Stegostoma tigrinum: one gene and its partner. The protein of the gene in region 2 interacts with the protein of the main gene of each other region in a pairwise test. Links are inferred from orthologs where the notes say so. Each region holds a gene or a part of one and is shown on either strand. Other genes may lie near its edges. The genes, in order: tax1bp1b and tnfaip3.

The links.
Region 1: the proteins of tnfaip3 (region 2) and tax1bp1b interact in binary tests that used the Homo sapiens proteins (3 or more experiments, as listed by UniProt). The link is inferred for Stegostoma tigrinum from reciprocal best matches to the Homo sapiens genes TNFAIP3 and TAX1BP1.

The regions. Positions count from the first base shown.
Region 1 is NC_081355.1:58,213,380-58,224,842, forward strand, and holds the start of tax1bp1b (tax1-binding protein 1 homolog B), read left to right. Parts: upstream 1-6,804; 5' UTR 6,805-7,058; intron 7,059-11,463. Other genes in the region: 3-hydroxyisobutyrate dehydrogenase, mitochondrial-like, read right to left, coding at 1,251-1,411, 6,532-6,601.
Region 2 is NC_081357.1:45,695,547-45,706,930, reverse strand, and holds the start of tnfaip3 (tumor necrosis factor alpha-induced protein 3), read right to left. Parts: upstream 4,574-11,384; 5' UTR 4,323-4,573; intron 4,148-4,322; 5' UTR 4,133-4,147; coding exon 3,826-4,132; intron 1-3,825. UniProt on the Homo sapiens protein: Ubiquitin-editing enzyme that contains both ubiquitin ligase and deubiquitinase activities.

The DNA of each region.
Region 1 (11,463 bases), on a different chromosome or scaffold from region 2:
CCACGTGATGGGCTGCTTTGTCCTGGGTGGCATCAAGCTTGAGTTGCACCCATCCATGGGAGAGGGGAGTATCCCAACACTTGCCTTCTAGATTGTGGACAGGCTTTGGGGAGTCAAGAGCAATATTTCCTCTAAGTTGCATATGCTCTGATGTTTGGCCAATGGCATTCAATATCAGCACTGACTTCAGATTGCAGAAATTGCATACCACACACAGGTCTCAGAAGCCCTTGTGGCCAACACAAAAAGGAGGGGAAAAACACTAGTTAGGAGTGGGGTTACTCACAACAAGATTCAAAGCCTCTGACCTGCTGCATTGGGACATGGATTTGTCTCAGTATCTGAAAAATCAGAAACAAATAGTGCTGACCACAGACATCCACAAACATCCTGACTTCTGACCTTACAATGGAGGTAAGACCATTGTTGAAGCAGCTGAAGATGTCTGTACCTAGGACATCACCTGAGGAGCTCAAACAGAGATGCACTGGAGTTGAGATGTCAGACATCCAACAACCACAACCATCTTCCTTTGTTCCAGGTATGACTCCAACTAGTGGAGAGTTTTCCCCCAATTCCAGTTTTGCAAGATTCCTTGATGCGAAGAGCATGCACTCTTCACCTCAAATTCTGTAGCTGTAACACTGTTCTGCATTATTACCCTGATTTCTCTGGTTAGCACACGAAACAATACTTTCCTCTGGATCTCAGTACATGTGGCAATAATAAGTCAATTTTTAAAAATATTTAAAAGTTGTACTCATTTTTAAATGGGAAGAATCAAATGTAAACTAACTGCTTGGAATCCAGTTAAATTTGAAATAAAAATAACTGGAAACAAACCCAAGCAATGTTCAAATCAACAATTGTCAAGAATGAATTTACATGAACATCATAACCTCAGAATGATTAAACCAACAGACAGCTATCCTCTGACAGATGCGGTTTTAGGATGCCTTTAGGATACCTATAATATGAACATGCTCTCAATTTGACCCTTTCCAAGGCTGGCCTTGCATTAGCCACATTCTAACCAAAGGCACTAATGCTACTTGCACACATTTTTAAAGATAAAGGACTGTCTGTAATTGGACCAGTTTTCTAATTATCATTTCATGAAATCCATTCTTACTTGATCTGCAACTGATTCAAAAAGGTGAGAATTAAGAAATGGAACAAATCACAACAGCAAAAATAAAAAAAAAATTGTCACAAACATGATTCTACAAAATTCAAGACCACTGAATTACCTGGGCTCCTAAGTCCTCTATTTCCTTGCATGATTCTGGGAAGACATCTGAAGCAATAATGGGATAGCCATGCTTTATGAGGTTCTTTGCCATTGGATTACCCATGTTGCCCAGACCAATAAATCCCACTTGGGCTTTCGAGGCCATTGATCTGGAAGACACTATTAGACCAGTCCTTTTTAATTACAACAGAGTGACACCTTTCATATTTTGCAAGTTACATTCATACTTAGTAAAGTCAAAAATGTATTTGGCTTTGCACAGGACTAACATAAAATAGGAGTAAACCCAAAAATGGGAAAAGTGTAGTTCGATGTCATTTATGCTGTTAGCCAATTTCAACTCATCCAGCTTGGGATATTACAATTCTGCTTTTCTCATTTCTCTAGTGACTTGCTTACAATTCTAAATTTCTTCTGCACATTCTTCTAGCTCTCAACTCCACTTAAGAAATGGAGAAAATATGGCATTCGTCACCATTGCTCACTACCTCATGAGAATCTATTCCAGGTTAGCAATAGCACAGTGTGGAAAAGAATCTCATCTCAAACACAGCAAACAAAATAGGAACAAGGTCGTGCTGCCCTTTGAGCCTGTGATGGCATGACCATGGCAGATCACCAACTCAGTTTCTGCTTTAAATGCCATAACTTTTGATCCCTTTAACCCCAAGAATTATACCTATTTCCTTTCCTTCTTGAAAAGAAGATTTTGGCCACAACTATTTTCTGAAAAAGGATCACTGAATTCAAAATATTTGTGCAGGCTAGGTGGATTGGCCATGCTAAATTGCCCATATAGTGTTCAGGGGTGTGTGGGTAATGGGGGGCTGGATCTGGGTGGGATATATCAAGGGGTGGTATGGACTTGTTGGGCCAAAGGGCCTGTTTCCACACTGTAGGGAATCTAATCTAATCAACTTTTTCCTCTTTACGAGAACTGCCAGAGTCACTGAGTTTCTCCAGCCATTTCATTTTTGTTTCAGATTTCTAGCATCCACAGTTACTTGTCTGGCAATACTTCAGGTGTGGTCTCTGCTGGGCCCTGCACAATTGCAGCAAAACATCCCTGCTTTCATACTCAAATCCTCTCACTATTTAGGATAACATACCGTTTGCCTTCACCCCCTGCTGCAATTGCATGCTTACACTCAGTGACTGGCATAAAAAGACAGCTCATTGCACCACCCTTTCATAATGTATCATTCAGATCATAATCCACTTTTTTGTTTTTGCTACCGAAGGGGATGACCTCACATTTAGACACATTATACCCCATCTGCTATGTATTTTCCCACTCAGTCAGCTTGGCTAAATTGTACAATTCATCTCAACATCCTCCTCAGTTCACCCTCCCACCCAACTTTGTCATAGGCAGACAGAGGCACATTAATTATTTAGATCAAGGAACTAAATGTAATGTTCTGTTCTGAGAAAGGGTCACTGAACCCCAAACATGAACTCTGATGTTTCTTTCTTCACAGATGCTGAGTTTTTCCAGCAACTTCTGTTTTTGTTACAAATGTAATGTGTTTTGGGAACAGCTCTGGTCCAAGCATTGATCCCTGCAGTACCCCACCAATCCAGTTTAAATCTACTTTTAAAAAACTTGTCCATTAGCTTAAGCAATCTGACCTAATAAGTTATAATACTCCAACTACTCTTCCTTCCTTTTCTACTTCAATTATGTGAATAAGAGGGTTGGAAAATTGTGTTTTTAAGCACAATTACCTGACTGAGAGTCAAATCTTCAAAATTCACCTCAGCAAGCTGTGTCAGTAACTATAAAAAAGATGAAATACACACGACAGGTATTATGTATTTAAAAACTGTAGTATGCATCCAAGTGTTCTCCATAGAAAAAGGTTTGGATGCTGCAATTTTAGACTCCCTCACACCACGATAATTTTATGCTCTATTTCAATAGTCAATGATTTATGGGTTATGTTGAAATCTGTACAAAGCACTGCTTCAGCCTCATGTACAATATTGTTTGTAATTCTGGATACCACTCGGCATTACACAGTGGAAAGGATCTGGAAAGCACTACCTGAGAATGTGGTGGAGGATTTACTATCTAGGCAGGGGGAAACATGCAAGGCTTCAAGGAGAATACAGAGGAATGGCAATAACTAAATTGCTCTTGGCAAGAGCCGACAGGTGTGATAGGCCTTATGCCCTTCTGTGCTGTAACAACTGTGATATTATAGGTAAACAGGGATCAAAGACCTTTTAGGTCAACAGAGACATTGAAACAAAATTCCTCAGTTTTGCCAGGAAACTTAGTATACGGAAATGGTATTTCAGGTGGATGTCTCAAAAATAGAATCTTCTCCTACATTTCTAACATAGTGGTACATTTACCCAATTACCTCCAAAAATGCTGTTCGAGGAAGTCATAAATTTATAACTGTAGTTTTATTGTATTAAGTGTAAACTGCATTATTAAGCAAAGATGAATTTAGTGTTTCATGCAAGTTTTAAATCATGGAGTTTTACTTTTTTAAATTTAGATATTTACAAGATGTAACATCTGTGTAGGCTTCTTCACCACAGAAGATCTGAACGACTACTATAAAATTAAATTGTTTTTGGAACAGTCACTGACGTAATGCAGGTTGATACAACGCTGCAACCAAGTTTTAAATTGTGATAAGGTCAAACCTCACGATAAGATGTCTGCCATACTTAGAAACGTTATTTATTAACTAGAGTGGAGGACAGGTCAACAGAATACAAATACATGAACCTGCCTCGCTCCCCTTCTCAGTGTACCCTTGATCAAGTTGCCAATGCAACTGCAGTTGCAGGCGATCTCCTTTTCTCCACTCAAGTCGTCATGCATTTCATCTTTACTGAATTCCTCCAAACCGTCTTCTGACCCAAAGTAGAAATTTATGCCTCACTAGTTTGTAAGCAATTACTCGTTCTATGCCCTTGATTTTGTGCCGTGTTTGATGCTGTTGACCATCACGACCACAACATCATATCTTCATTACACTCCAGCTTTGTAACTACTTTTCAATGGTTCCACTCTGAACTAACTGAAGTTGTTGCAGTGAGGGCTACACTTCCATCGATCCAAAATTCCCCTCTATGCTCAACTATGAAGACCTCTTCTTGGCCCATGACCTCTTCCACATTTACATGGTGCCCCATGCCAAAGTCATGAACTATCACAAGGCCAAAATATCAACACAGATTACCATCAACATTGTCGAAATAGCTGCATTCTCTCGTGTCAATGGTAACTATTTAATTTTCAACAGTATCTGCCATTAAAGATCAAGACTCATGTTTTGGGGCTGAACAAGAAAACTACACTCACCCTCGTTTCCAACTTCAAACCCTCCCCAGCAAAACGCATGTTGTCCAAAACAGATCAAGTATTACCATTCAACACGATAGACTGAATTCCAAATCCAACAGCAGATACAACATATATCCAATTTCACGAGACTGATCTATCCTCAGATTTTCAATTGCTGAAACCTTGGTCTATGATGGTACATCAATTTTGTCAACAAATTCCTCCCGCCTCCCATTCTTCATTCCACATGAATTCCAGCTTATTTGAAACTCAGTGACTGATGCCATTTCCCACAGTATTGTTCAACATAAAAAATGCTGTAAATGCAATTAAGTTCACTGAATGACCAACATTCACATAATTAGTGGGAAGGATGGCTAGATGATGTACATATCCATATTTTGGGCAGCATAGTGGCTCAGTGGTTAGCACTGCTGCCTCACAGCACCAGGGACCTGGATTCAGTTCCACCCTCAGCTGACTGTCTGTGTGGAGTTTGCACATTCTCCCAGTGTCTGCGTGGGCTTCCTCCCACAGTCCAAAGACATGCAGACTAGGTGGCTTGGCTATGCTAAATTGCCCATAGTGTTCAGGGATGCCTAGATTAGGTGGGTTAAAAGGGGGAATGGGTCTGGGTGGGTCAGTGTGGATTTGATGGGCCAAAAGGCATGTTTCCACACTGTAGTGATTCATTAAAAAATGAATCACTATAATTTTTAAGCAGCATTTAGCATAAAAAGGTGCCAATCTTGGTCAATCACCAATTGACCTTAGTTGGGGCAAAGTTTTCAATACTAAAACTCCTAACCATACCCCAAGCACCACAGGCTCCCGATTACAACCCAAACAGCTAGAAAAGGTCACATGTGGACATAACCAGGTTTAAGGCAGGATTTTTTTTTTTTAAAAAGTAAAGCCATTATCATGCATAGAACATAGAAAGCCCCCCCACCCCCCAAAATATTTAGTTTAAAAATCACAGCTATTCTGCAAATTTATCAAAATCATGGATAAAAACTCATTTTTAATACTAGCACAGCAACAAAAGGCAGGAAGTTCTAAAACATCAGGATACTCCAACTGAAGATACCTCTAAATTGCAGGAAGCAAAAGAAAGCTAAAAAGACCAAAGTGTGGGAGCAGAGGTACACCTGGAATTGGTTAAAACAGCAGAAACAGGACCTTGACAATGAGGTAAAATACAAATGAATTGAACTTGTCAGCATTAAGGTGCAGGATTGGGAAAGGAGTTAAAACAAAACTGTCTTCCATCACCCTTTATTAATATTAGTCTCATCAAGCACACCATTAATGTCCTTGGCCAAGATGTTGGAGAACTACAAGCATCTGTTTGCTGCATTAGGAGTAAATTGCAGCACTGTCAATTCTGCAGTCATTTGTTTAATAATGCCAAATGTACTCTGAAAATTTGTCAAATTCAAACGTCCCAACAAGCCTAATACAATTCTATATTTGAAAAACTCCAAGCATGTTTCACAACTGAATTCTATTTTCAACATGCAAGATGATACAAATTCCACCCAGACCAAACACCTGATGCCAAATGTTACACTTAGAAGTGTTATATAGTTTTGGAAGGCTTTTTTAAAAATCTGTTGTACAAACGTCACTAGTTATCTTGCAAACGGATGAACAACACCAAAGAAAAATCAACTAGTGTACAACAATCCACATGTATGAGTTAAGATATGAGAGAAAAACTTCGGAGCCCGCCCTTTCAACTTCTACTAAAGTGAGTTAAAACCGTCGGAGTGTTACTATACAGATGACAATTGGGGTGGGCTAAGGGAGAGAAAAAAAACAGAAACATATTTTAAGTTATTGCAGCTTCCACTCTGGCTCCTAAAGGAACGTTGTCCGACAGGTCCTTGTAAAGCCTTCACGCTCAGCATCGACATTTCCACGAATGCAAACCAAAAAAGTGCACAAAAAAACAAGCAAGAAGCCTTACCAATACAGTGCCGAATATAGTTAGTATACTTGAGGGACAAGTTGCTTGACCTCCTTATAACGGCCGCCATACTTATGTTCTCTGGCCGACCTCTAGTTGCTGTGATTGCCAGGCTGAGCAGCCTATCACCGGGTAGAGAGAAGTGGGCGTGACAGAGCCCGCGCCAATGCATAAGCTGCAGGCGATGACGCAAGCGCTAACCAATCAATAACATCTGGCACCGGGACATCCCTGGAATGAGCAGCTGAAGCTCGTAGCACTTCGGCATTGCTGCTTTCTTACTCCTAGTTAAACTCGGTCCCCGAGCTCCCATCTGTTTACCACATTTGTGTCTGCCAGAGCGATATTATTCAGCACGGGATGGAGATTTCTTCCGATTTGTGAAAAAGGACGTGATTTGAAACCTCAAGTTTATAATTCGTGCCCTGATTACAGCTTCACTGCTACAAGAACCGGACAATAATCCGTCCATTCACATTTTTAAATGTTGCTTCAAGAGTGATGCTTTGCATAGCAAATCCATCCAGGTGATTTGTTTCAATTCGTTCGCATGCACTTGAAATACTTATTGTAAAATCTTCTATGATCTTACTTGATAGTGTTCGCAGCAAGTCAACCAATTGTTCTTAAGCTTTGATTAGGCAGTTTTTTTTGTTTCCTACTGTTAACAATAAAATGTAAATTTCTTTCAACCTTTGTGGGAGGCTAGGGAGGAAATTGTGGGGCCCCCACCGGAGATATTTGCATCGTCGACTGCCACGGAAGAAGTGCCTGAAGGTTGGAAGGTGCCTAATGTTGTACCATTATGTAGAGAAATGTCTGGGAACTACAGACGGGTGAGCCTGACGTTGTTAGAGGGGATTCTGAGAGACAGATCTGCAGACATTTGAGGAGGCAAGGACTCATTTGGGATAGTCAGCATAGCTTTGTGCGTGGGAAATCGTGACAATCGTGACTCATGAATTTGAAGAGGTGACCGAGTAAGTAGATAAGGCTATTGAGGTAGATGTCTACATGGCCTTTAGCAAGGTACCACATAATGGGTTGTTGAGTAAGGTTAAATTTCACAGGATCCAGAGAGAGCTAGCCAACCAGATACAAAATTGGCGTGATGGGAGAAGACAAAGGTTGGTGGTAGGGGGTTGATTTTCAAGCGAGATGCATGTGAACAGCAGTGTTGGATTGGATAAATGATTTGGATGGGAATTTAGGAAGCATGGTTAGTAAGTTTGCTGATGACACCAAGATCGGTGATTATAGTGGACAGTGAAGGTTGTCTGGGAATACAGCAAGATCTTGATCAACTGGGAAAGTAGGCTGAAGAATGGTAGATAAAGTTTAATTGCATTTTAGTAGTTCAAACCAGGGCAGGACTCACACAGTCACCGGTAGGGCCCCGGGGTGTGTCATTAGAACAAACATCCCAGGGTAAAGGTTCGTAGCTCTTTGAAAGTCGAATTACAGGTAGACAGGATGGTGAAGGCAGCTTTTGGCATGCTTGCTTTCATCAGTCAGAGCAGTATAGGAATTGGGAAATCTTGTTGCAGCTGTACAAGATGTTGGTAAGGCTACATGTGGAGTACTACAAGCAGTTCTGGTTGTCCTACTATAGAAAGGATATTATTAAACTAGAAAGAGTACAGAAAAGATCTACTAGGATGCTACCTGAACTGGAAGGTGTAAGGAGAGGCTGGATAAGCTGAGAGTTTTATCCCTGGAATGCCCAGAAGTCTATTAAATTATGAGCGGCATAGTTAAGGTAGAGACCCAACAGTTTTTCCCTAAGGTAGGGGAGTCTAAAACTAGAGGGCCTAGTTTTAAAGTGAGAGGAGAGAGAGCTACAAAAGAGTCCAGAGAGCTAATTTTTTTTTACACCAAGGATACTGTGAGTCTGGATTGGGCTGCCTTCTGAGGAGGGGTCACTGGACCTGAAATATTAACACTGATTTTTTCTTCACAGCTGCTGCCAGACCTGCTGAACATTTCCTTCAACTTCTGTTTTCTGTTCTATGACTCTGTAACCTTGTTTGATCGTTAAATTGCAATGCACGAGAAATACAGTGGACATCCATGTACTTTCTCTTTCTTTTTAAATAATGAATGACAGATCTTGAAATCATTACTAGTGCAATGAAACTAATATTTATTGATTTGTAATATTTTAGACAAAAGCAAGAAGAACACAAATGAAGTAATGCTACAATATTTGCATTGTATACTCTTAACAGCAGTGGAATAGGTCATTACCCTAGCAGGTCCTTGCTGCTATGTATGCAACACATAAGCTTCCATCGACATGTCTTTCTTTAATCATGTCAATATATCCTTCTAGTCATAAGTCATATTGTGTAAAAGGGCTGTTGCACGGCAGTGGTATTGTTCACCCTTTGTGTCACACAGTCTGGGTTCTACAGGTATCTGAACAGGTTGATTTAAAATATCTACAGTTATGACAGCACAGAAGAAAGTCAACGACCTGTTTAGTCCATGCCAACAGTCTTCACTGCAATTGAGTCACTTTCATTTCCCTGTTCTATCTTACAGCCTTGCAAATTTATATTTCAGTTTAATTTTTAAAGCATTTCTTTCTTCCTCAAAAGCAGGAAAAATCCGACCTGGCCAATACTGCCCCATCAGTCTACTTGATGTCACCAACAGTGCTTTCAAGCAGCCTCTCCCCACTTGGGGTTCCCCCAGGGCTGCTCAGCTCCAGACCTCAGTACAGCCTTGATTCAAATACAGACAAAAGAGCTGAATTTCAGACATGATGTGAGAATGACAGCCCTTGACATTGAGGCCATTGTGGCCAAGAAGCCCTACCAAAACTGAAATCAATGGGAATCCGAGGAAAAAGTCAGCACTGATTGAAGTCATTTCTAGTGCATAGGAAGATGATTGTGGTTGTTGGTGTGTTATCCCAGCGCCAGGACATTTCTGCAGGAGTTCCTCAGGGTAGTGTGCTACAGGCAAAATCTTCAGCCACTTCATCAATGACCTTCCCTAATGTAAGGACATAAGGTCATAAGCTCATAAACAGGGATGATTCACTGATGATGGCACAATGTTCAGCACCGTTTGTAACTCCTCAAAGTGAAGCAGTCCATGTCCAAATGCAGCAAGACCTGAAGAATATCCAGGCTTGAGCTGATAAGTAGCAATCAACATTTGCGGCACACAAATGCCAGGCAATGATCATCTTCAGTGAGAGACATTTAACCACCGCCCCATGAAATTCAATGGCATTACCATCCCTGAATCCTTTATATCAATATCCAGGGAATTGACTAGAACTGAACTGGACTCGCCATATAAATACTGTGTAGGTCAGAGACAAGAAACACTGTAGCAACTAAGTCAGCTCTTGACAGAACTTGGCTACAGTTGGTGCTTGACAATTCTGCCTTGTTGTGTATCTTGAAGACTTATTGGGTAAGCATCCTCCAAGACAATAGATGAATGGACACCATGCAACAATCACTAGACAGGAATGCTCCTCCCATTTGGTGAAAACTTAAGCGGTGAAGGACATTCAGCCCTTGATCTTCAGGTAAGCATCCTCCAAGGTGGCCTTCGAGATACACAACTATGCAGAATTGCCAAGCAGAAACTGATAGCCAAGTTCTATACCCATGAAGATGGCCTCACCCGTGATCTTGGGTTCATATTGTGCTACCTGTGACCCCACCACATGGTACTATATCTATACAATCTTCCCTCCTGTCTTGTTTTGTCACCATCACCTGGACAAATTGTTATGATCTCTCTACCTTAATTAGTTTGTACAGTTTTATTATTTGGCACTTCACTCACACCATTTGTGTAGTCTTTGATCTCTGTCTGCCATTAAATTCTGTGTCTGTGTTTCTTTCTCACTTGACCTGAAAAAGACACTACACTCTGAAAGTTTGAGATTTCAAATAAACCTGTTGTCTATAACCTGGTGTCATGTTACTTCTAACCTTGAACACATTTGACCCAGCCTCAACAGGCCTCTGACAAAAAGAATTTCACAGATTCACAATCCTTGAAGAAGAAATTCCTCCTCATTTCTTTTTAAATGTTCTCTTTATGTAATCTGAGATTAATCTCAATAATCTCATAATCCGAGTTTATGCACTTTGCTACTGGACTGTTCCAGAAGGGAAATAACCTTTCGGCATCTTTATACACAGTTTGGATCGTCTAATTACCAATGTTACTGCACATTACACACACATAACTGACGGACCGAACACACTGTTCTCATTAAGGGTCGCTGAACCCAAAACGTTAATTCTGATTTCTCTCCACAGATTCTGCCAGACCTCCAGTGAGTCATACAACACAAAAGCAGACCCTTCATTCCAACTTGTCCAGGCCAACCAGATATCCTTAACTGATCTAGACCCATTTCCCAGCATTTGGCTCATATCCCTCTAATTCCTTCTATTCATGTACCCATCCAAATGCCTTTTAAATGTTATAATAATATCCACTTCCACTATCTCCTCTGGAAGCATGTTCAAGACATGCACCACCCTCTGGGAGAAACTGTTGTTCCTAGGTCCCTTTTAAATCTTTCCCATCTCACATTAAACCTATGTCCTCCAATTTTGGACTCCCCTAGCCTGGGGGAAAAGACCTGGCTGGCATTCCAGAGAAAAACCCAGTTTATTCAGCCTCTCCCTATAGCTCAAACCCTCCAAACCCCGCAACATCCTTGTAAACATTACTGAACTCTTTCAAGTTTAACATTTTTCCAACAAGGACACCAGAATCGAATGCAGTATTCTAAATGTAATCTCACCAATTTCTTGTACAGCCGTAACATGACATCCCGACTCCTATATTCAATCCGCTGATCAATGAAGGCCAGAATGCCAAGCATCTTCTTCATCACCCTGTCTATCTGTGACTCACTTTCAAGGAATTATGAACTTGCACCCCTAGGTC
Region 2 (11,384 bases):
TATTGCCATGGCAGAAATGTTCACATGCACAACCAGTTATGATTCATTTCACAACATCACACTGCTTTCCAAAGTGTGAAGGTATGAAAACAACATGAACAGGAACAAAAGCTATTGCAAGATGAAACTGGCCAAAACACAGCTTGGTTGTGTTCAAAGGGAAATGTTTGTCTCGGATATTTACATGCAGATAAAAGGACCAAACTGTAAAACCCGTTCAGACCAACAGTGAATATAATTCATAGCAATCTATTCTCCATTGGGGCATCAAATTAGAAAGCAGAATTTAATGTCAGAGTTAGATTAAGTAAACTACATGACTGCCCATCGTTTACAACTTTGCTAAATTTAGGATAGACAAGTTACAGCACTTGGATATTTCACTAACACTTAACTACATAAACAAGTTCAGAGCTGTTTTGGTCTATTTAGTAACATTTTTTCCAGAATCAGATCTTTGGGAATGAGATTTCACTGCACATTTGAGCATAAAAATAAACCTAATACTGGTATTGAAAGTATGTTGCATACTTAAAGGTGCTTTCAGAAGAAATATTTAAAAAGTTCAAATGTATAATTTGAAGAGGAGCAGGGAGTAACTGCAACTGTCTGGTCAACATTTGTGGTAACTGGTATGCAAATTAGACGTTTTACTTACTAAACAACTGTGATTGTGTTTCAAAAGTAATACAGAAGTGCATTTTGAGATTCCTCCTGACATGGCCAAACATTCAAGCAGCCTTTTAATTTCTACAGATAGCACTTTTTTTTAAAAAAAGCAGCTATAATGAACATTAATCCCTTCTTTTGGAAAGACGGCTTTGAAAACACCATACAGAATAGAAAATACTGGAAGCATGCAGCATATATATATATAATCTGTGCAGAGAGCAAGACAGAAACAGAATTAACAGGTAGGATTCTCCTCACACCACTGGGGTCTTGACATCAAGGCCAAATTGGAATAGCCACCAGCACTTGCTAGGAGCTTTTGCTTTCAGTGGCCACTTCTTTGAGGGATGGAGCCTTCAGCTCCAATGTTTCTGGAATGCCTCATGAAAACAGTTTACATTAAGCTGATGGGCATTACAGTGCACAGCGATTCCTTTCCACCCTGCAAAAATTTGTCTCTCGGTGGATATGTGTCAGGAAGCATTCCCAGTGTTGTTCCCCACTATTTTCCTGATCCTACTCTGGGACCTGGAACATTTTGTCCCATATAAATCAGACCCTTAAACTTCGCTAGAACTGTTTGATGTAAGATAACAAGGTGTAGAGCTGGATGAACACAGCAGGCCAAGCAGCATCAGAGGAGCAGGAAAGCTGACATTTTGGGTCTGGACCCTTCTTCAGAAATCAGACCCAAAACATCAGCTTTCCTGCTCGGCCTGCTGTGTTCATCCAGCTCTATACCTTGTTATCTCAGATTCTCCAGCATCTGCAGTTCCTACTATCTCTGTTTTGATGTAAACTTGAATTGTTAACTTGGTTTCTCTCTCCATTGTTACTGCCTGACCCAAGTACTTCCAGCATTTACTGCTTTTATTTCAGACTTCAAGCAGTATTTTGTTTTCTCATAGTAGACAAGGGAAGCTTATTCATTTTTTAACCAATTCGTTTTGGACAAAATTATAACTATAAGGAGTTGAGTTCATCTGAAATAGAATGGTGTTTTATACTGCCCAGATTTAGTGAATATTCCAAGGTTACTATCACATTTTCAAATTTCAATACAGGAGTTTAAAAGCACGAAGCTTAAGTTCATTAATTTATTGAAATTATCCTTACAAAAGAATAAAGCTTGTTATTGTTTACCACAAGAATTAAAAAAATAAAATTATAGTAACATTTGTATCCTTGATCAACTGTTTTCCAACGCATTTACACTGCCACAGTGATTTTAGGAAGGGGCATTTTATATGCAAAACATTAACGCTCTTTTCCTCTAACAAATCCTTCTAGGCCTGCCGAGTTTCTCCAGTGTTTTCCAGGTTTGTTTCAGAATAGCAGTATGCACAGTATTTTACTATTACATGATGATTTTTAAGATTGTCCTCATAATACATATTATAGCAGTCAAACTGAATATGGTGGAAGAACGAGTAACACGTGGACCTATTTGCAACAGAAATTTATAGTTCATTTGTAATTTTTTTGTGGGGCGGAGCTGAAAATGGAGGAAGAAAAAGAAAGGGAAAATAAAACTGAGGCGGGTGTTATAACCAGATCTAACCTATTTAAGGCATGGTACACATTGAAAAGGGCACTAAAATTAATCATCACGGAATGCACAGAGTTCAATGTTCAGACTTTAAGAATGGGCCGTATAAAATTCCCTGTGCAATCTATGGAATTTCCAAATGAGTAGCAATTTGACTAACACAGCATACAGTCAGTCAGCCAGCTAGTCGCCATTTCTCTTTTGTAATGTGTAGCTGTCTGAGCCCTATTTTGTGAAGTGGAATTTCCAAGTGGGTGTGGTTGGGGAGTTGGGTACTTGGAATGTTTATACATTACACAAGTAAAATTTGATTCAACCAATTGCTGTTGGGACTTTTAGGGGAAGTTTTAATTTTAACAGACACCTACACTCTTCCCCATTTACAATATTTTCATATCCCCAGACACGTCAGCACTGAATCACTGAAAATACCTAAATTTCTGAATGTAGTCTGTACATTCTCTATTGGCAAATAACTCATGGAAAAAACAAACATGAATTCACAATTGATATTGTTCCCCACAGTGGAGACACAATTCTATAAATGTTCATGAAGGATTTTTTTGGCTTCAATGCTTAGACTTTCATAATGAATCTTTTACTTCTTAAACTGAAAATGAAACTGCATGAAAGAGCAACAGCAAGTTTCAGAATTATTTCAAAATTGCTTTCAAAAAAATGTATTGTTCGTGAGCAGTATGAAACACTATTATCTGTCCACAGTTAAGGAACAATACATTTAGGATTCAGCTGCTGTAGTGATTTTCACTAATATTGCAAACTACCTTGTACAATTTCTGCAAGCTTTCATACCTGAGAAACCGCCCAAATTTCAAATCTTTTTGGGTGAATGTACAACTATTTAACAGCTAACACCAGCTGAAACACATTTTCAAAAAATCCTAGGCATTTTATTTGCACACATTCAATGCAAAATACATACATTCACATCATATAGTCTTGAAATACTACTTACAAAGTAAAGCAATGAAATTTACAATTATATACAAGGTTTCATTTAAAATCAAATCAAACCTGATTACAATGGAGGATCACTGTACTAAGATGAATAGATCATTCAGTACTTGGCTCCTGAAGTAATCCACCTGTTCTTTTCTTTGGATATTAAGATATTACTTACACAGAAAATTTCCTTATTTGGAAGAATTAAATATTTGACTTTGAATGAAAAAATTAAACATCAATTAATTGTCATTCAGCTAACTCCACTATGTGGAAACAGACTCTACTACAACTTCAATTAATTTAAGCATCAAATATAGATACATAAACATTGTGTATAGATGCAGTGTGATATCCACTAAGCTGATATTACATTTTAATGATTTAGAAGTCTGTGACTATCTTTTTCAATCCTATATTCATAGACGATGAGGGCTGATTAAATCCTTATTCTGCATCCAGATATTTTGTTGATGTGAAGGACTGAAATTAAGTATTAGAAAGCACATAATCTTCCAACCATTAATCTACTGGGCAATCACTATATATCCTCTTCAGAATGCTAGTTCTTTTACAGGCAGTGCAGATTAAAGACACGACACCACTTTCAAAATTGTAGAAAAATGAGTTGTAAATCTTACCGTTTGTCTTCAGAGGCACAAGTTTCTTGACCTCTCTGCACCAGTTAAGGTTCCTGTTTTGCTGAAGGGCAGCCTCTTGGGCCTTGTCAAACAGAGCGTCTTGGATTTTAGTCCTGAAACGAAGGTTGAAATGACTCAATCGGAACAGCTCCACCGTGTATCTGTGAAGGCTCCTGAAATGGTGTATCAAACCATTGGTGCAGTCCGGTCTGACTAAGTCATTGGCGATCCTCTCCCTGAGCCTCACCGTCTTAGTCAAGTTACTGGCGAAGAGAAACTGAGGCAACAAACTGCCTTCAGCTGCCATCTTCCACAGCAGCCCCTGAGGGAGATAGACAAAGTCAGTGAGTTCACATTAATGTTTGGTCCACTCAAAAACAGCCAGCTCCTGATGAATGAAGCAACTAGGCAAGTCACATTTAAACAAAAAATCAAGCATGCTGCAAACAGAGCACACAGAAAACACCTGCTACTTGCAAGTCAGAAACAACATGTACCTGTTATATGGGTTTTCAAACCAGTCTCGCTCTGGCCTTAGTGTGCGGAACCCCCTTCTTCTCTCGTCTTAAACTGCAAAGCTACTGCAGGCTCTGGGCTACACTCGCATTACAATGAGTTCGGTTTGCAGACACTTTTTTTCTCTCTCTATCTCCCCTCCCTTGGCGAAAGTCAGAAGACAGAAACTGAACGAGATGAAAAGGGAAACCACGCCGGGACTTTCCAGCGGGGATTTCCAACCAGACTTTGCTCTGACTTGTCCTGGTCACCGACAGAGGGAGCCCCAGAGCCCAGGTCGCAGTCTATCTAAATCTCATGCTTGTACAAAATCTAATCCCAGTTGGATCACATTTTTATACACTAAAGAAAAGGATGTCTAAATATTCCAAAGCATTCATTTTAGACATACATAATAAAGGCAAAAATATTGTAGTTGCTGGAAATCTGAATTAGAAGAAACTTTACGAAACTCGAAATGCTAACTCTGTTCCTCTCTCAAAAATGCTGACCTGAAGAGTTTTTTCAGCATTCCCAATGTCTGCATTCATTTTGGACGCAGGCTGATATGGGGCAGATAAAAAAAAAGCCGAGGTCACAATGCAGTGAAGTATCACATGTCATAATACAATATGTTGCATTTGGCCTCCTTTTGCTTATTCATTTAGAGGAATCGCATCATTTGAAGTGGCTTAAGAATGGCTTCAGGAATTTTGTTGCCACTAAAATGGCAACAGGAGTTCACAGAAAGTGAGATGACAAAGTTTAGAGCTGGATGAACACAGCAGGCCAAGCAGCATCAGAGGAGCAGGAAAGGTGATGTTTCGGGCCTAGACCCTTCTTCAGAAAACACAGAAAGTGAATTGCTTTTGCAGAGGGCCAACACAGACAGAGCACATGGAATGGCCTCTTTCTGTGAATGTGATCATTCTATAGTATTATACCTGGAATTCTCCTCCATTTACTGATCCCTTCATGTGAATAAATTCTTCCCACCACAGGAAGATCGGACCAGTTAGCCCTTAGGACTGTTCCATTGTCTATAGTTGACAGTGACTTGAGTTTGCCTTTACTCCATGACCTTTATTACTTTTAACTATTGTAATGTATCAAACTTTGTTTTAAAATTTACAGATTATCTCACAACAACTGCATTTTTCATGTGACCTCACTGTTAAGTGACCCACCTTTAATTTTTTAGCTATTCCCCATGTCTTAGATTCTCCAACCAGTACATTGTTTCTGCATATCACTTCCCCTTAATATCTTGAAAATTTTGATCAAATCTCCCCAGCATGTTCTAAATTCCAGGGAATGAAACACTAGCTTATGTAATTGCTTATAAAAAAAACCCAAGAAATAATTTAACCCTTTGAGTTTACCTATCATTCTAGTAAATCCTTGTAAATCCCCACTGAACTCCCATCAAGGTCATTATATTTTTCCTTAGCTGTTGCACCCTGAACTGAACACATTACTCAATGTCGATGTGCTGTGTCCAGAATTGGATGAAAAGAAATATAATGCTTCCTGCTGTTTGTGTGCTGGACTGGATTTCAGTTGGCTAGCTGCTATTTGAAAAAGTGAACCAAATGTGAATGTTCCTCTCTGTCAGTATACGGCCTTTCCATTGGCAGGTGCTCAGCTATATCTTCTCATGGAAGCACATAGAAACCAGATCATTTATGACCCCAGTCTAAAGCTTCTGAGGAACTCAGAGGATGGTAAGCCCCCAGACATACAGTGAAGGATTATCAGGGCCATTAGCATGTGGACATACCCTGGCATTCATGAACCAAGTTCCTAGTTATGTGCAGATAGCTTCATTGCCTTGTGGCTACATTGGAAAAGTTGAAGCCTAATGTGAGTAATAAAATGACAAAACACCTGAAGTGGAGTCCAAATTCAAATTGATGCCTAACTGTGTTTTTACCTTGGGTGACTCCTGTGCCAAACTAGTGTCAAATGTGCACTCTTTTGGGCCCAAAAGGGCAGGGCAAGCTTAGGTTTCCTGATTTTTGACAGCACACGGCCTCAGTAAGTTTTGACTTGTGCTCTGAAGAAGACCTTGCAGTTTCACTGACCAAAGGGTTGACCACCAAAGGCCCAAATCAATGTTTAATGAGGTAGGTGACTGTCAGAGAGATTCCGGGTATCATTTAAAATATGCATTTCTATCTCTGAAATAAAACTTACCCCCTTGTATTCTGGTCCTTGAGATAGAAAGCCAGTAGTCTTATATTCATTTTCATTATTTTACACTTATGTTCCCAGTCCCTATCATCAAGATATATACTGAAGAAATGCTCCAGGTTTACTGAACATCATTTAAATTCTTTGACACTTCAGTAAAATGAATTCCCTTTAATTTTCTTTCAAGAGTAAAGATGTTATCTCATGACCTCCTGACATTAAAGTTAACTTTTGGTTCCTATATTCGTACTTTTAGAGCGAACTGATGATGGTATCACAGAAGTTCACAATATTATTAGTGAATATTTTTTATTAATTTATTCATGACATTTGGATGTAATAAGGTAGGCTAGCCATCATTAGACATTCCTAATTGACTTTGAGAAGATGGTTGTGTGCCACCATTTTGAATGTAATGAATAACTTGCTGGGCTATTTCAGAGAATCATTAAAAACCAAACATATTGCTATGGATCTGGACCCACTTACATATTAGTCCAGATTAAAACAACAGATTAAAAGCAAAATACTGTGGATGATAGAAATCCAAGACCAACAGAGAGAACATTGGTGGAACTCAGCAGGTCTAGCAGCATCTGTAGAGAGTGAAACAGAGTTAACATTGAGTCCAGTCAGAAGTAGTCATACCGTCTTAAAATGTTAACTCTGTTTCTTTCTCCAGCGATGCTGCCAGACTTCTGAATTTCTCGAGGATTCTCTGTTTGTTTTAGAACAACAGATTGCCCACTTTAAAGAGTATGAATGAGCCAGATCAATTTTTACAACAATCTGGTAATTTCAAAAATTCACTATTCACAATCCAAGCTGTTAATTCTTTGGTGGGATTTGGACTCATGTCACTAGATCATTAATGCAAGTCTACTAATTTACAACATTAGTCATTAGTGCGCTAATGCATTTGTACACACAAATTCAAATGTATAGATTTACAATATAAACCTTTATTCTACAGTCTTTAGACATGTTTTCTTCTAAAAATCTTTATTCATAAAATTTGTAAATGGCAAAATATTTTACTTGAATATTCCAGATTTTGTAAGAAACTTCAACCTGTCCTAATAGATCATGTTCTACTCAGTCTGATTATAAATGCAAAGGCACATTTAGCTCGGCAGATGGACATTAGTATTTTACCTAACACAGCCACCTTGAGGCCAAAGTATGGAGGTGATGAGACCCTGAGCATGTAGGAAAGATCTGGCAAGTAAGGTCTTTATCACCACCATTCAAGCTGTGTTCTCAACGCTTGTTTCTAAATTCTGACAAAGAGGCATTCTGCCAATTTCTGCTCAGGAAACTATCCAACAGGATCTACCATCTCCTTATACTGTGCCTCCATGGCTGCCATGTTAATCCTCTTTGTTAAACTTTAAGTCTTTACCCCTACTCTTTTCAGAGCATCCTGAAAAAAAGCACCTCCTTCATAAAGTCTGGAGACATGAGTTCAATCTGGCTCATTAATGTTCTTTGAAGAAGGCAATCTGTTGTCCTAAAACAAACATAGACAATCCTGGAGAAACCTGTCTATGTTCAAGTAAAGAGAATGCTCTGCACGAATAGTTCTTAGCTCAGATAATGCAAAATCAAATAATACATAGTACAGAACTGATACTTCCACATTCAGATAGTACACAACAGTAACAATTCCAAGGTTAAACAACACACAACATTGACATTCCTGAGTTCTGGTTCCCGGTAGCACAACCGTAATTGCATACATGGAGATAGTGATGCAGTGATACTGTTATTGGACTAGTCAACCAGCAGTCTCAGTTAATATTTTGGAGATATATAGGTTAAAATCCACATTATCAGTGGTTGGAATTTAAATTCAAATAATCTGGAATTGAAAGCTGGTATCAGAAATAGTGACCATGAAACTATCATCAATCTTGTAAAAACTCATCTCATTCATTGATCCCTCACTGAGAAGGAAATCTACTGTTCTTACTTGGTCTGGTTCTTTTTGTGACTTCAGACCCATCCCGGTATGGATTTATGAAGTAGAAATCATGCTTGACAAATCTGTTGAAATTCTATGAAGATGTAACTCGTAACGTTGACAAGGGGAGCCAGAAAGTGTTTGACAAAGTCGCACATGAAACATTAATGTGTAAGTTTAAAGTGCATGGGATTGGGGGCAGTGCATTAAGATGGATAGGAAAATGGTTGGCAGAGAGGAAATAAAGAATAACGAACAAACGGGTTATTTTCAAATTGGCAGGCTGTAACTAGTGGGGTGCCACAGGCATCTGTGCTAGGACACCAGCTATTCGCAATATATATTAATGATTTGGATGATGGAACAAAATGTAACATCTCCAAATTTGCAGATGATACCATGCGGAGAAGGAGGGTGAACTGTGACGAGGGTACAGAGATCCTTTAGCATGATCTTAACAGGTTGGGTGAGTGAATAAATCAATGGCAGATGCAGTGTGATTTGGGTAAATGTGAGATTATTCACTTCGGAAGCAAAAACAAGAAGTAGATTACTAACTGAATGGCAGTAAATTGGGAGAGGGGAGTGTGCAGTGGGACCTGGGTGTCCTTGTGCACCAGTCACTAAAGGTAAGCGTGCAGGAGCAGCAAGTAGTAAAGCAGCCAAATGGTATATTGGGTTGCATTGCCAGAGGTTTTGAGTACAGGAACAGGGATGTGTTGTTGCAGTTGGACAGGACCTTGGTGAGACCATACCTGGAATATTTTGTGCAATTTTGCAGAAACTATTTGCACAGAAAGTAGTTGATGCCAAAACATTGAATGTATTCAAGAGGCAACTGGTTATAGTGCATGGAACGAATAGGATCAAAGGTTATGGGGAGAAAGCAGGATTAGGCTGTTGAGTTGAATGATTAGCCATGATTGTGAAGAATGGTGGAGCAGATGCAAAGGTCTGAATGGCCTCCTCCTGCTCCTTTCTCCTATGTTTCTATGTTTATACCAATGTAGCTGACTCTTAACTGCCTGCTGAAGTGGTGTAGTATTCCATTCAGTTCAAGCAAAATTAGGGATGGGAAGAAAATATGAGACTTATCAGAAAAGACATGAAAGAATAAAGAAAAAAAAAGTCTGGTTCCCATTAAATATTCTTCTTTAAATCATTATTTTATTAAATTGTTCGGTAATGTTGAGCATAAATTACATACCGGAATGAACCATTGAGTAGATCTTTTCCAACATTCATCATGATAACATGTTATACCTTAGAGGCCAGATATATTGCACACTTTTCAAAGAAGCAAGTTTTATCGCAGAAACACAACACTGTATGTACATCAGAGATAATGGGAACTGCAGATGCTGGAGAATCCAAGATAACAAAGTGTGTAGTTGGATGAACACAGCAGGCTAAGCAGCATCTTAGGAGCACAAAAGCTGATGTTTCGGGCCTAGACCCTTCATCAGAGAGGGGGATGGGGAGAGGGAACTGAAATAAATAGGGAGAGAGGGGGAGGTGGACTGAAGATGGATAGAGGAGAAGATAGGTGGAGAGGAGAGTATAGGTGGGGAGGTGGGGAGGGAATAGGTCAGTCCGGGGAGGACGGACAAGTCAAGGAGGCGGGATGAGGTTGGTAGGTGGGAAATGGAGGTGCGGCTTGAGGTGGGAGGAGGGGATAGGTGAGAGGAAGAACAGGTTAGGGAGGCGGGGACGAGCTGCGCCGGTTTGGTGATGCAGTGTGGGGAGGGGACGAGCTGGGCTGGTTTTGGGGTTCAGTGGGGGATGGGGAGATTTTAAAGCTTGTGAAGTCCACATAGATACCATTGGGCTGCAGCGTTCCCATGCAAAATATGAGTTGCTGTTCCTGCAACCTTCTGGTGGCATCATTGTGGCACTGCAGGAGGCCCATGATGGACATGTCATCTAAGGAATGAGAGGAGGAGTTAAAATGGTTCGCGACTGGGAGGTGCAGTTGTTTATTGCGAACCGAGCGGAGGTGTTCTCCAAAGCGGTCCCCAAGCCTCCGCTTGGTTTCCCCAATGTAGAGGTAGCCACCTCCGATCGGTTGGCAATAAACAACTGCACCTCCCAGTCGCGAACCATTTTAACTCCCCCTCCCATTCCTTAGACGACATGTCCATCATAGGCCTCCTGCAGTGCCACAATGATGCCACCCGAAGGTTGCAGGAACAGCAACTCATATTCCGCTTGGGAACGCTGCAGCCCAATGGTATCAATGTGGATTTCACAAGCTTTAAAATCTCCCCCTCCCCCACTGCATCCCAAAACCAGCCCAGCTTGTCCCCTCCACCCACTGCATCACCAAACCAGCCCAGCTTGTCCCCACCTCCCTAACCTGTTCTTCCTCTCACCTATACCCTCCTCCCACCTCAAGCCGCACCTCCATTTCCCACCTACTAACCTCATCCCGGCTCCTTGACCTGACGGTCCTTCCCGGACTGACCTATCCCCTCCCTACCTCCCCACCTATATTCTCCTCTCCACCTATCTTCTCCTCTTCCATCTTCGCTCCGCCTCCCCCTCTCTCCCTATTTATTTCGGAACTGTATGTACATGCTGTGTATCTGGAATAAAAATAGAAAATATTTAAAATATTCAGCATATTCAGAAAAACAAATTTCATATTTCAGTTCAGTGACCTGTCATCAAAAATTAGGGATGGGAAGAAAACATGAGACTTATCAGAGAAGACATGAAAGAATAAAGAAAAAAAAAGTCTGGTTCCCATTAAATATTCTTCTTTAAATCATTATTTTCTTAAATTGTTCAGTAATGTTGAGCATAAATTACATACTGGAATGAACCATTGAATAGATCTTTTCCAACATTCATCATGATAACATGTTATACCTTAGAGGCCAGATATCTAAAACTAGATCCCAAGAAT